Linked DNA regions of Danio rerio. The protein of the gene in region 1 purifies or fractionates together with the protein of each later gene. This does not show direct contact. Links are inferred from orthologs where the notes say so. Each region holds a gene or a part of one and is shown on either strand. Other genes may lie near its edges.

Region 1 (3,521 bases):
AAGGGGTGGTCCAGTTTGGCTTGGTTGTGTTTATAAGATGCAAAGCAATGTGTGCTCATGCTTCATTGGTAGAAAATCCTGTCATTATTTCAAATATCCAACTTTGATTATATACAGCTACTCAGCTAACATGAAAATGACTGATATATTTCCTAGTTCCTCTGAAGACCCACCCTCAAGAGCCTCTGATTGGTCTTCTAACATAATATGCTGTGATTTACATATCAGCTCTGCTTCATCAGGATGCATTTACATTTACATTTACATTTAGTCATTTAGCAGACGCTTTTATCCAAAGCGACCTACAAATGAGGACAAGGAAGCAATTTACACAACTAAGAGCAACAATGAATAAGTGCTATAGGCAAGTTTCAGGTCTGTAAAGTCTAAGAAGGGAAGTATTAGTAGTATTAGTATTTTTTTTTTTTTTTTTTTTTTTGGGAATTGCAGATTAGGAAGTGTAGTGGAGACTAAATAGTTGAGTTTTTAGTCATTTCTTGAAAGTAGCGAGTGACTCTGCTGTTCTGATGCAGTTAGGGAGTTCATTCCACCAACTGGGCAGATTAAGTGTGAGCGTTCGCGAAAGTGATTTCTTCCCTCTTTGGGATGGAACCACGAGGCGACGTTCATTCACAGAACGCAAGTTTCTGGAGGGCACTTAGATCTGCAGTGAAGTGAGAGCAGATAAGAAGGAGCAAGGCCAGAAGTCACTTTGTAGGCAAACATCAGAGCTTTGAATTTGATGCGAGCAGCAACTGGCAGCCAGTGCAAACGGAATAGCAGCGGAGTGACATGTGCTCGTTTAGGTTCATTGAAGACCACTCGTGCTGCTGCATTCTGGAGCAGTTGAAGAGGCTTGATAGAGTTAGCTGGAAGCCCAGCTAGTAGAGAGTATAACAGAGAGGATGCATCTCTGTTATAACATTACATCGTTTCTGACCACACCCCTTCGCTGCGCAGTTTGTATGTGCATAATCTGAAGGGTTTATGGCATCATTCACCTGTATGTATTTTTTTGTAGCCCCCTAACTTTGTTTGCTGTAGGCTTTGCTAAGCTAACTGTAAAAGCCAATAGCTGCGCCCCAAATCGCATACCTATGCACTATTCTACGCCATTTTGTAGTATAAATATTGAAAGTAGTGTGTTCACACTGAAAACTCTAAAAATAATAAGTGCACTTTAATTACCCGGATGATGCACTCATTCAGCCACTAAAATGAAGTGTGTAATTGTAACGGAGGCCAGTTAGTGAGAGCTGTGCAGGTAAACCTCACTCCTCTGACCTCTAAAGGTGCTCTAGTGATCCACGTTAGAGGCCATGGTCTTTAGCCTCTTTGTTGGAGCAACCGACTCCCATGCGGAAGGTTGCCGGTTTGATACCAGCTTGGAGTGGGTTGGGTGGCGTAGGACCGGCAGGGTTACATTGGTGCCGTGACCCGGATGGGAGTGAGGTTTAGGGGGGTGTGTGTAACGGAGGCCAGCTAGTGAGAGCTGTGCAGGTAAACATCACTCCTCTGACCTCTAAAGGTGTCTAGTGACCGATGCTAGAGGCCATGGTCTTTAGCCTCCTTGTTAGAGCAACCGACTCCCATGCGGAATGTTGCCGATTCGATACCAGCTTGGAGCGGGTTGGGTGGCGTAGGACCGACGGGGTTACATAATGATGGACACTTCATGCAATCAACGACTGCAGGTTTGCTTACGTAGCGGAAAGGGGCAGAGCTATCGGACGCACATGTTCTATAACTTTATTTATTTTGGATGGTGAAAGCAAATTTCTCCTATGAAAGTGATTATAGCGCCTCCCGATGGTGAATGCGGCAATATTCATGGCAGGTATTATATGATAATTCGGTTGTTTATTTCACTGATTGGCAACCGTCAAACGTCATCAGGGAAACGGTTTGAATTTCCGCTTGGTAAAAAAACATTAGTGTGCCATTTGGGATGCCACTAAATACATATACTATCCTGTTGCGTGTGTAAGTGCATAAGTACATAGTGCATGAGTGCATAGTGTATAGTGTGCCATTTGGGACGCAGCTATTGTGTCTCCCTTTGCATTGAACTTTGAGCGTCTTATTAAGAGATGTTGTTTATGTTCACACAGCTACATTAATCATCAACTAAAGTTTAAAATATAATATTGTAGTGGACCACCCCTTTAACTCTTACATTCCAGTCTCATAAAAAATTATTGTACAATATGTCCGTTTTTTATGATTTTAAATTGTGATTTGTATGAAAATGTACAAATCATGCTATTAAAATAATAAAAAAGACATTAAAGACATGATTCACCCCAAAAATAACAATTATATCATCATTTACTGTTTACACCACACTTGTTACAAACCTTTATGAGTTTTTTTAAAGCTTGAAACAGGTAACCATTGACTTCCATAGTATTTGTTTTTCCTACTATGAAAGTGACATGTTTTCAGCATTCTTTTTTTATATTTTAATACAAAAATAACGCTTTAGAACCACTTTTTGTTTGTGTAAATGGTGAGTCCATTTTTATTTTTGGGTGATCTCTTTAAGGTACATCCCTAACCCACTACTAAACTGATCTTACATGAGGGTTTGACAAATTAGCCATCATTTAGCTAATGAAATATGTAATATGGTTAGAAATTACAGATTGTTAATATCCAAAATGACTACAAATTACTTCAAGTGTATGTTTGCCACCATTAATGTGTATCCTAGTACAATGGGTTAAACCATAACTGTGTTTTTAATGATGAACATTTTCTTGGTGAATCTTAGGGCTCGATGATCCCAAAGCCAAGATTCTTACAGAAGCGGATTGAGGAAGTGGAAATCGGGACTTTCAAGAGCATCGCGACTGTCAAGGAGACAGAAACCGTTTATGATGCTTTAACAATATTTGTAGAGCGACGAGTCTCAGCTCTACCTGTGGTCAATGAGCAAGGTACTACGCATAACTGTTTGAGTTAGTTTTTCTGTAGCTAAATGATTTGCACACCTTTTACTTCAGAGTGGTCATTGAGATTTTTCCTTCTCTCTAGGCAAAGTAGTGGCACTTTACTCCAGATTTGATGTCATTGTACGTAGACCCACATCCACACCTCTTAATTAATAAATTTATTTATTTGTTGCTTTTTTTGTTTTTGATTTGTATCATGGGTAACAATTTTTAATTTGGATCACAATTCATAAGATTAACAACTGGCTTAATAATTGACTATTAGTAAGATATTCACCTTTTATAAGGACTTATAAAGTATGATCTTATTTTACAACCCTAATCCCACCCAAAACCTAAACCCAGAACCTTACTTACTTTTAATAAACAGCTATAATTAGTAGTTTATTAAAGCTAGTAATGTTAGTCAATGGTTTGTTAATACTGTGAATTGTGACCTTAAGTGTTACCATATCATGTAATGTGTGTAACTTAAACATAAAGTAATTTTTTATTATTATTAGGCTAAGAGATACACAAATTACCAACCCAGGCTGTTTATGGCTACGTGCCCCTGTATACATTTTT
Region 2 (3,220 bases), on another chromosome or scaffold:
TTTTGTTCCCTTCCATTACTAAAAACATAGCAATTTCTTATATACATGTTATTTTTAAATTATAAAAATATAGCTTTTTTAAAAACCTTTTTTAAATGTTATTATTCTGTAATGTCATCGTTTATATAAAATGTGTTGGCTGGCATAATTTCTTAGCACTGATTTCTGTAGAGTAGCGATTAGAGACTAAATTTAATGCCATTTTATTTCACAGATGTCAGTAAAAGTATGTCAGCAAGACAGAAACTGGAGGCACAGTTGACTGAAAATAACATTGTAAAGGAGGTAAGTTTAAGAGTGTTCTATATCTTTTATGGTACATTTCAGTTAGTATATGGTTAGATTTTAAAAAATGCTGGGTTCCACACAATTGCTTCATGTTGTCCCAAATCGAACGGATTAAGTTAACTTAAATGTTTTTACAAACTGAAGTGCATTGAACATAAAACAATTAAGTTGTCGCTAAAAAAACACAAGAGTTGTGTTGTTTCAGCTAATTTTACAAGTGGTTTGAACAAGTAGCAAAAATCCTTTTTTGAGTGTATGATCAAATCTATACAGGGCTGCACAATATTGGAAAAATCTGATATTGCAATCTTTTATTTTTCTGTGATAAATATTCAATAGTTATACAATATTTAAATTTATGTATAGTTTCACTAGATAATTTGAATAGCCCTATTTTCTATTAGTTTTATAGGGAGTTAAACAATATTCAGGAACAGAAATTCAGTAATCACAATACAAAAAAATATATATATATATTTTTCTTGTCTCGTTTCTTGTCCAAATATCTAAAAAATCTTGTAGATCAAGTAAAAAATATTCTTATGAAAGAAGATTCTTATAAAATGAGAGGTTTTCCCTTAATACATGCTAAATTATCTACCAATGAGGTCATTCAAATTCCTATTTCCTCTTTGAAATTGAGATATTTGGGCTTGAAACTAGACAAAAATTCTAAGTAAAAAAAATTTTTTTCTTACAAATAATTAAATTCAATTAATTTTACTTAAACCTCTAAACATCATTGTGCCCAACCTATCTTGAAATGCTCAGTCAAAGGCCTTAAAAACACATACGCTGATTTAACTTAGCAGTGACACAAATCAGATGTGTTCTGTGGCTCCTAGACACCTGTAATTCAGACTCAACATTGCAGATCTTGTGATGGGTCTATTGCAGATGCGCACATTGTCAAATCGATGCTGAAATGATATACACTACCTGACAAAAGTCTTGTCGCCTATCCAAGTTTTAGGAAAGGCAAATAATAACTTGACTTCTAGTTGATCATTTGGTATCAGAATTGGCTTATATGAAAGGCAAAGGCCTCTAGATTACACTTATTTTACCAAAATAAAATACGATCATTAATTAGGACAAGAAGGTCTGACTTTGCTTAGACAAAAGTCATGTCACTTAACAGAAATAATGTACAGTATAGAATATAACGTCATGGTGCAGTGGAAAAATAATCAATATTGTGTATGGCTCTCATGAGCTTGGAGGTCTGCATCCATACATCTCTGCAATGATTCCATTAACTTATTAACAATGTCATCTGGAATGGCAAAGAAAGCGTTCCTGCAAGACTCCCAGAATTCATCAAGATTATTTGGATTCATCTTCATTGCCTTCTCCTTCATCTTACCAAAAACATGCTTAATAATATTCATGTCTGCTGACTGGGCTGGCCAATCTTGGAGCACCTTGACCATCTTTGCTTTCAGGAAGTTTGTTGTAGGGGCTGAAGTATGAGAAGGAACGCTATCCTGCTGAAGAATTTCCAGTTTACCCTCTCCTGTGGTTTGTAATGTAATGGGCAGCAAAATGTCTTGATACCTCATGCTGTTGATGTTGCCATCCACTCTGCAGATATCTAGCACACCCCCATACTGAATGTAACCCCAAACTATGATTTTTCCTCCACCAAACTTGACTGATTCTGTGACAATATAGGGTCCATGCGGGTTCTATTAGGTCTTCTGTAGTATTTGTGATGATTGAGATGCAGTTCAACACATGATGATTCATCAGAAAAATCTACCTTCTGACACTTTTCCAAATTATCAACTAGAAGTCAAGTTATTATTTGTTGCTCTTAGAACTGGGAAAAACGTCAAGACTACTGTCAGGCAGTGTTTTGTGCAGCCCTACTATACACATTCATCATGTTATATCACATCTGCCATCCCTCTTCAGGAGCTTGCCTTACTGGATAGCCAAAACACAGTTTACAAACTAATTGGACCGGTTCTGGTCAAGCAAGATCTAGATGAAGCCAAGGCCACAGTGGGAAAGAGATTGGAATACATCAATGGTGAAATGTAAGTATGATTAATGCCAGCTCACATTACGTTTCATTGAATGCGGATGCCGCAGTTGATTCTGATGTAACTGAGTATTTCTCTGCTCTTCATCTCAGTCAGCGCTATGAGACTTTATTGAAGGAGATGGAGAGGAAGTCTGAGCAGCATCGGGAGGTTTTGTCCAGTCTCCAGCAGGAGTACCAGCGGGCTCAGGGTCAGGCTGTTGCCAAGGCCTAGATGGACCATAATTCTGTTTGGGACACTGGTCTTTTCCAGCGGAACTCAGAGACTGATTGCACCTGCTAAAAACACATGCTTCTTCACATGTCTATTACAGTTCTGTAGGCTTTTTTTGTTTGTTTGATGCTATTAGGCTATCAATAAATCTTGATTATTTATTTTTGGTGTCCTGCTGTTTATTTTGACATGCTGAGAGTGAGATTCAGAGCATGCTAATCCACAAATTTTTGTAATGGGTTATTTTGTGATGCAGGTCTAAGCTGAATAATTAAAAAGAATTATTAGCTTAGCTTTTGACTAAGCGTTAAGTTATCATTAAAATAAAGAACATGAATAGGGTATATATGCACACAGACTAGGGTTGGATTAATATACGATGCCATCTCGTAGACATCAAGATGCTGAGCCAGCATCGCGATCCTCCACCCTGCCCCCGTCGAAAACCTGCTCGTGAAAAATACACACTTAGGCCCTTTTTACACTAATGCGTCTTAGTTTTAAAATGCCATTTTAGAATGAAAATGATTCACGTCCACGCTGGTGTTTCATCTAGCATTTCTGAACAGCCCGTCTGAGCTCCAGGCAATCAGCAGGTGCTTTGAGCGCAAAACCCCAGAGAGCAGTGCACGTTGGAAAGTTATCTAGGATGTACCGCTAAATTGTGTCTC
Region 3 (3,521 bases), on another chromosome or scaffold:
AAGGTGAAGCTGGCAGACCTGCAGATCGAACAGCTGAGTCGTGTAAAGAAGCACGCAAATCTCACGCATGGAGAGATTACATCACTTCCTGAAAGCACTCGGATGTTTGAGGGAGCAGGACGGATGTATGTATAATTCTGGAGGTTTCAAATCTGGACCCTTTACTCTCTGTTGTTTTGACCTTCTCTTCCTTCCTTTATTCAGGTTTATTTTGCAGTCAAAAGGTGAGATCTCTAATCAGCTTTTGGAAAAGCAGAAGACGGCAGATGACAAGATAAAAGAGCTTGAGGTAGGTTATGAGCAAAAAAACAAATATAGTTGCTTATATTAAATCTACTTGTCCGACAAAGAACTGCTTATCAAAATACAAAGGATAGGTCACCTTATTTTAACATTTTTTACTTGCTGTTAAAAAAAATCTATGAAAGTCATAATTAAATAAGATATACACTCGGCGGCCACTTTATAAGGTACACCTTACAACTATCGGGTTGGAACCCCTTTTGCCTTCAGAACTGCTTTAATCCTCCAGGGCATAGATTCAACAAGATACTGGAAAATTTCTCAGAGGTTTTGGTTTATATACTGACATGATAGCATTATACAGTTGCTGCAGATTTGTCGGTTGCTTATCCATGATACCAATTTCCCGTGCCACCAAAGGTGCTCTGTTGGATTAAGATTGGGGGACTGTGGCCATCTGAGTAAAGTGAACTCATTGTCATGTTCAAGAAACCAGTCTGAGATGATTCATTTGACATGGCATGTTATCCTGCTGGCAGTAGCCATCAGAAGATTGGTACACTGAAGTCATAAAGGGATGGACATGGTCAGCAACAATACTCGGTCAGGCTGTGGTGTTGACATGATGCTCAATTGGTACTAATGGGCCCAAAGTGTGCGGAGAAAATATCCCCCACAACATTACACCACCACCACCAGCCTGAACTGTTGATACAAGGAAAAATAGATCCATGCTTTTATGTTTTTGATGCCAAATTCTGACCCTACCATCCAAGTGTTGCAGTGAAAATCGAGACTCATCAGACCAGGCAACATTTTTCTAATCTACATTTGCGCCCACAGAACTGCCGCTCACTGGATATTTTCTCTTTTTCGGACCATTCTTTATAAACAATAGAGATGGTTGTTTGTGGAATGCTCAGTAGATTAGGTTTCTGAAATACTCAGACCAGCACGTCTGGCACCAACAACCATGCCACGTTCAAGTAATTTAAATCACCTTTCGTCCCCATTTTGATGCTTGGTTTGAACTGCTGCAGGCTGATTAGAAAAACTTGTGATAACGAACAGTTGGATAAGTGTACCTATTAAAGTGGCCGGTGAGTATATATATATATATATATATATATATATATATATATATATATATATATATATATATATATATATATATATATATATATATATATATTTATATATAAGTATATAGAAGCTTCTGGTTTTTCTAGTCTTTTGTGTTCATCAAGAAAAAGAGATTAAAAAAAAATTGAAAGTGAGTAGATGATGCCAGAATTTTCCTTCTTTTATCATCTTAAAATTCTGAATGGATTGTAGTGTTTTTAGTATCCATCAGCTAGGAAAATGCTAATGAAAAGCATTAAATAATTAAATGCTAATGATAAACAGAACATTATCATGCATTAGTGTGGATGCAAAAGGTTTTTTTCTTTTAACAATAAAACTGTGGGTTGGGGGGGGCACGGTGGTCTCAGCAAGATGGTTGTTGGTTCGAGCCCTGAAGGTGTTTCTGTTTGCATGTGCTCTCCGTGTCTGCTTGGGTTTCCTCCACAGTCCTAAGCGTGCTGTATAGGTGAACTGAATACACTAAAATGGCCATAGAGTGTAAATAAGAGAGTGTGTAAGTGTTTCCCAGCGCTGAGGGTTGGGGATGGGCATCGGCAGGTAAAACAAATGCCAGAGTAACTGCAGTTCATTCAGTGGCGACCCCTGATAAAGCAGGAAATAAGCACATAGTTTGTACGCCACGCAGTATCAAAATCACAGCAATTATACTCTAATGTAATATCACAAGCTGCGTCACACATATAGGAGGTTTAACCTGATTGGTTAGAACACAGATAGACTTAGACAATCTCAACATGTGTGCGTAAAATTCTAAACAAAATCACCAATGATTACTTTGGCGACAAGCAAAGAAGTCTCCTCCGATGAAGAACACACACACACACACACACACACACACACACACACACACACAAAGAATGCTTATAGACTTCAAGGATGTCTTGTATCTTATCAGAATGGTACAATAAACATCTTTATACTGGCAGCTAACTAATACAAAGAAAGTCTCTCTCATACAATAGAATCTCAAAAGATTTGACAGGTTTTTGTTTTCATCAAAATCCAGTTTCATATGAGAGGTCGTAATGAATGAGCCTGAAGTTCCTGAGGAAAACGCATAACTTGGCATACAGAAATAACAACGAGACCCATATCATTCCAGTTTTACTTCAGTTTTCAGAGTTTATACTCATATTGCTTGACGCTTTTTGCAAGTTTGGCATCCTATCCTGGGAGAAAACCCTGAGCTTGGAGATGATTGAGCATGGCTCCTGCCTTGTCATTTAGCATAAATGGAGTCCAAGATTAGTTAGATCTCAAGAGCTCCCCCTGGTAAACAGAGGAAAAGGAGGAGATGGGGCGGAAGGGGTGATTCTTCCATAACAAAGATAGGGCAAGTAAGGTGAAATCAGTCTATTTATTGTAGACTTGGATCGATATGATTAGATTATCGCTGCTTACGGACGAGAGACCAGCCGCGATCAATCATATCACGTGCTCCTGTCAAAATTAGTTTATAAAATTTTACTTAACCCTATGGTCATCATATAATCTAAACATTTAGAACAAATTCAACTTTATTGATAATCATATCACAGAAAGGATCTTTTGCCAGTCCTATAGCTGTCATCATCTAGATACCCACCCTTTCAATGCAAACTTTGAGACAACCAGTCCACCCTATTATTGTAAAATGATTATTTATTTAAGCTCATCGCACACTGGATGCAAAATTCCACACCACGTCTTTTAGAATAGTAAACATTGTCATCTATGAGAGTACGCTCATCAGCGTCAAAATTTTGCCTTCTTTTCTTTTTTGTATTTCTTAACAATGTTTTGTTTTTTTTTTTTTTTTTAAAGAATACAATGTAAAGAGGGTGTGTGGAGTGTCTGGACCCCCTTTTACACTATACTTTGTTACAGCAAAAAGTATTTAGTTACTGTAATGCATTACTTTTCTAACTCATAAAGTTCTAACAATGGCAATCAAAGGTGACAGATTTTAACTAAGATCTATTATAGAAATCTTTTCCAAAGTTTGACTCAGATGACCAAATAATGGCCAAATTTACATCATAAACTCGGCTTTAGTGAGACCTGAAATGGGATTGTCAGACAAATAAGAGTGTGGGGTGGGGACTTCAGAAATTCAGAAAACGTATAAAGTGCATAAAATGTATATGTAGGTA
Region 4 (3,521 bases), on another chromosome or scaffold:
GATGACTTTGATTCATTTTTATGGCTCTGTGATTGAGAAAAAGGATTCTCCTTGGTTTTTATATGGCTTATTGGTCAATTGTGGCATTCAAAGTCAAAGATTTTTGTGTAATGACCGCTAAATTCTTGTGAACTGCTCTTCTTTCATGTCTCTATTATTCCTCTGTGGTTTCTTTCTTCTCACATAATTGAGTTATTTAAACTCAAATCAATATTTCATGCTCTTTCAATTATGTATTTGATAAATAGCCATGCAATAGAGGAATAATACATGGAATAATAGAACTGAGCTGGTCATCATGGCAAAATTAGCCTCTTAAACAAAACCCAGTCACCCTGTCTGGGGTTATTTTGCAATAATGGCCAGCTGAATGTACGTTAACAATCCAATACTTGCACTACTCAAGCCAGTTTATACTTTACTTCTATAAAGTTAAAAAAGTCACACATGGATAGGGTCTTTTATGCAGACAATAAGCAGATAATGATACAAAGTGTGGGTTTATGGATTGAACTCCACTCTAAAAAAATATTGTTTAGACCAGTAGTTCTCAAACTTTTTTCACCAAGTACCACCTCAGGAAAACTTGTCTCTTCAAGTACCACCATAATGACTGGTATTGAAATACATAGTAAGCCTAATTAAGCGGCTACTGCACAGTTCACAAATGTGGCAGATTGATTATTATTATTATGAATATTTATTATTGTCAGCCACTTTAAACATAATAAATACATAATAAATATGTGATAAATAAAAATGTGATTTTAAAAGTTAATTAAAAATAGCACTGTTCTTAAAAAGTTCAAAGAAATCTGCTGTACTTAAATGTAAAGTATTATCATAAACAATTACAGGTGGGCCCCACGCGGGCTAGCCAATGTGGTTGGATATAGGGCATGTGCCCCAGTAAAAATCTATGATCATAAATAATTACAGGTGGGGCCCATGATAACAGATGTCATAAGTTATTTCATAGAGTGTAGCTGATTTATTTATGCAGTAGTATTATTAAAGTAAAAAAATATTTTAAAGTCAACATTACATAGACACAATAATAGTTTGTTTTTCACTGTTGTGAAGTAAATCCCAGTGACAACATCTCGAACATGAGAAAATGTACTTGATTTTGTAACTTTTTCAGTAGTACTGGATTTGAAAATATTTTTCCCATTGTTTTTTATCTTAGATCTTTTGATTAAAGTGTTATGATTAAAGTGTTATGAGCCACAAACCAAACCAACCAACTGTATGGTGAATCACAACATTATGAATTTCATTTGAAGCAAAGAAACATATAAAAACATGATAAAAACAAAAGTACAAGACTTGACAACCTAATAGAGGCAAAGAACTACAATCCCATGAAGTTATGCAAATGTTACAATTTAAAATGATTGGAGAACTATACAATTGTTCATTTAAAGTCGTTGGTTGTATCCATCATGTTTCAAGCATGCTTCATGGGAGTGGGTGGAGCTGAGTTTGCAATGCACTTTGCTACCTGCACCTCTCTGATTGGTAGAAATTGTCAAAGTTAATATGCAAATTTGAGCAGAAAAAAATACACCATGTTGTACACTACATCATGTTAATAAATTCTACTATTATTTCTTTATAGAGCACTGATAGGAAAACCCTGCATACTCACCGGGAAAAAATCTGGAGTCTTACAAGACCTGTCAAACTAGGCCTGGGGGTTATTAGATCTTTGAACTTTAAATGACTTTTTTATTTGATTGTAATCACTGTCAATAACCATATATGATTCCTCAAAAACTTTTCTTAGTCAGAAAGTTACAGCAAGCAAAGTGCACAAAATGAGAGATTGCTTTAAAATAAGTTGAATTCATGTGAACATATACAGTCGATTAACAACCTCTGCATGTCTTTAAAGTTTTTCGGTTATTGTTAAAAACTACAATTTCTAATTATTTTTTTACTATTATGTTCATAACCTGACTTTTGCATTCTGTAGGGAATTTTGTTGTTTTAAATAATTGTCAATGTCATGTGACCATGAATGTTCATCAATTTTGTCCTAACGATTGATTATTAAACAAATGATTTTAAAAGGAGATTTGTTGTTATTAATTTTTTGCACTGTTATATTTTATTCTAACTTACATGATACATGATGTTTTCAGAGCAAATTAGAGATTTCTGTAATTCTATGTAAAAATGTTTTTGCTCAAGGAAGATACTCACCAGTTGATGGTCATATAAATAAGTGTGTCCTTGTTTTATCATTAACTGTGTGTGAAAGATTAAGGGTCTTTAACATAAAACCAGTAAATGTTTCTGAGCATTATGCACATAAATCATTGCTTGTCTTTTGTTTATGTGCTCAAACCTATCATATGTGAAACCTATACTGCACAGCAAATAACTACTATCAGACAATTGATCTATTATTGTGACAGGTCAGCTGAAAGACTGTATTTTGTTTTTTGTCTTCATCTGCAGCTGAATTACCTCCGCCCTACACAGCCATTGCCAGTCCAGATGCAGGAGGAGTGCCAGTCATCAACTGTCGAGTGTGCCAATCTCTTATAACTCTGGATGGCAAACTCCATCAGCATGTGGTGAAGTGCACCGTCTGTAATGAGGCCACGGTAAGAGAACCTGACTGCAGATAGCGCTTAGTCATGCACTCCTTTAGTCCACCATCTTTCTCTTTGATTTAATAACCAAAAGCTTTTGCCACCTCACTTATTTTTTTGCATGTTCTCACACTTTAAAAGTTCTGATCATCCAACAAATTTAGTCAAAATTAAGTCAAAGAAAACACAAATAAACACTTCATGCAGTTTTTAGTTTTTAAATAAAGGCTTTTTTATTAAGGGAAAACAAAATAAAAAACTACTTAGCCCTATGTTTAAAAGTGTTTCCACTATTACACCCCCCCCCCACACACACACACACAACCCTCACCTGTTTAAACATAACTTAACTCTGGTTTATTACACCTGAGTTCAATTTTTAGGCTTGATTATGGCTACACCTGTTCGAAGTCAAGAAATCACCTAAAATAGGACCTGCCTGACAAAGTGATGTAGACCAAAAGATCCTCAAAAATTAGACATCATGCAGAGATCTAAAGAAAACTCAAAAACAAGTTAAGAAAAAAATATTGAGATCTAGAAAGATTTGGGACTATAGCAAACCACAGTGAGAGCTATTATCTACTAATGGCAAAAACGTAGGACAGTATAGAATTTTCCCAGGAGTGGTCGGCCACCAAAATGACCTGCGACATCTCTTCCAAAAGGTTAGAAAAGAAGAATCCAAAGAACTGCAGGCCTCACTTGCCTCAGTTAAGGTGAGTGTTCATGACTCTACCATAAGAAAGAGACTGGGCAAAAAGTGTTTGCATGGCAGAGTTTCAAGACAAAAACCACTGCTGAGCAAAAAGAACACAAAGGTTCGTCTCAGTTTTGGGAAACACTTTGGGGAAAATATTTTGTGGACTGATGAGACAAAACTTTTGAACGGTTTGTGTCCTATTATGTGTGGCATAA

The links. The genes of interacting proteins can lie anywhere in the genome.
Region 2: the proteins of prkag3b (region 1) and pfdn6 purify together in Homo sapiens (affinity purification with mass spectrometry; 3 studies listed by BioGRID and IntAct, with this or other methods). This does not show direct contact. The link is inferred for Danio rerio from reciprocal best matches to the Homo sapiens genes PRKAG3 and PFDN6.
Region 3: the proteins of prkag3b (region 1) and pfdn1 purify together in Homo sapiens (affinity purification with mass spectrometry; 3 studies listed by BioGRID and IntAct, counting the BioPlex papers as one, with this or other methods). This does not show direct contact. The link is inferred for Danio rerio from reciprocal best matches to the Homo sapiens genes PRKAG3 and PFDN1.
Region 4: the proteins of prkag3b (region 1) and pip4p2 purify together in Homo sapiens (affinity purification with mass spectrometry; 3 studies listed by BioGRID and IntAct, with this or other methods). This does not show direct contact. The link is inferred for Danio rerio from reciprocal best matches to the Homo sapiens genes PRKAG3 and PIP4P2.

What each region holds. Positions count from the first base shown.
Region 1 is NC_133184.1:14,255,780-14,259,300, reverse strand, and holds part of prkag3b (5'-AMP-activated protein kinase subunit gamma-3b), read left to right. Parts: exon of another isoform or gene 1-245; intron 246-904; exon of another isoform or gene 905-2,773; coding exon 2,774-2,939; intron 2,940-3,036; coding exon 3,037-3,074; intron 3,075-3,521. UniProt on the Homo sapiens protein: AMP/ATP-binding subunit of AMP-activated protein kinase (AMPK), an energy sensor protein kinase that plays a key role in regulating cellular energy metabolism.
Region 2 is NC_133189.1:35,056,847-35,060,066, reverse strand, and holds the end of pfdn6 (prefoldin subunit 6), read left to right. Parts: intron 1-214; coding exon 215-285; intron 286-2,205; coding exon 2,206-2,330; intron 2,331-2,428; coding exon 2,429-2,549; 3' UTR 2,550-2,710; downstream 2,711-3,220. UniProt on the Homo sapiens protein: Binds specifically to cytosolic chaperonin (c-CPN) and transfers target proteins to it. Binds to nascent polypeptide chain and promotes folding in an environment in which there are many competing pathways for nonnative proteins.
Region 3 is NC_133196.1:32,808,134-32,811,654, reverse strand, and holds part of pfdn1 (prefoldin subunit 1), read left to right. Parts: coding exon 1-125; intron 126-204; coding exon 205-289; intron 290-3,521. UniProt on the Homo sapiens protein: Binds specifically to cytosolic chaperonin (c-CPN) and transfers target proteins to it. Binds to nascent polypeptide chain and promotes folding in an environment in which there are many competing pathways for nonnative proteins.
Region 4 is NC_133194.1:33,870,338-33,873,858, forward strand, and holds part of pip4p2 (type 2 phosphatidylinositol 4,5-bisphosphate 4-phosphatase), read left to right. Parts: intron 1-2,466; coding exon 2,467-2,615; intron 2,616-3,521. UniProt on the Homo sapiens protein: Catalyzes the hydrolysis of phosphatidylinositol-4,5-bisphosphate (PtdIns-4,5-P2) to phosphatidylinositol-4-phosphate (PtdIns-4-P).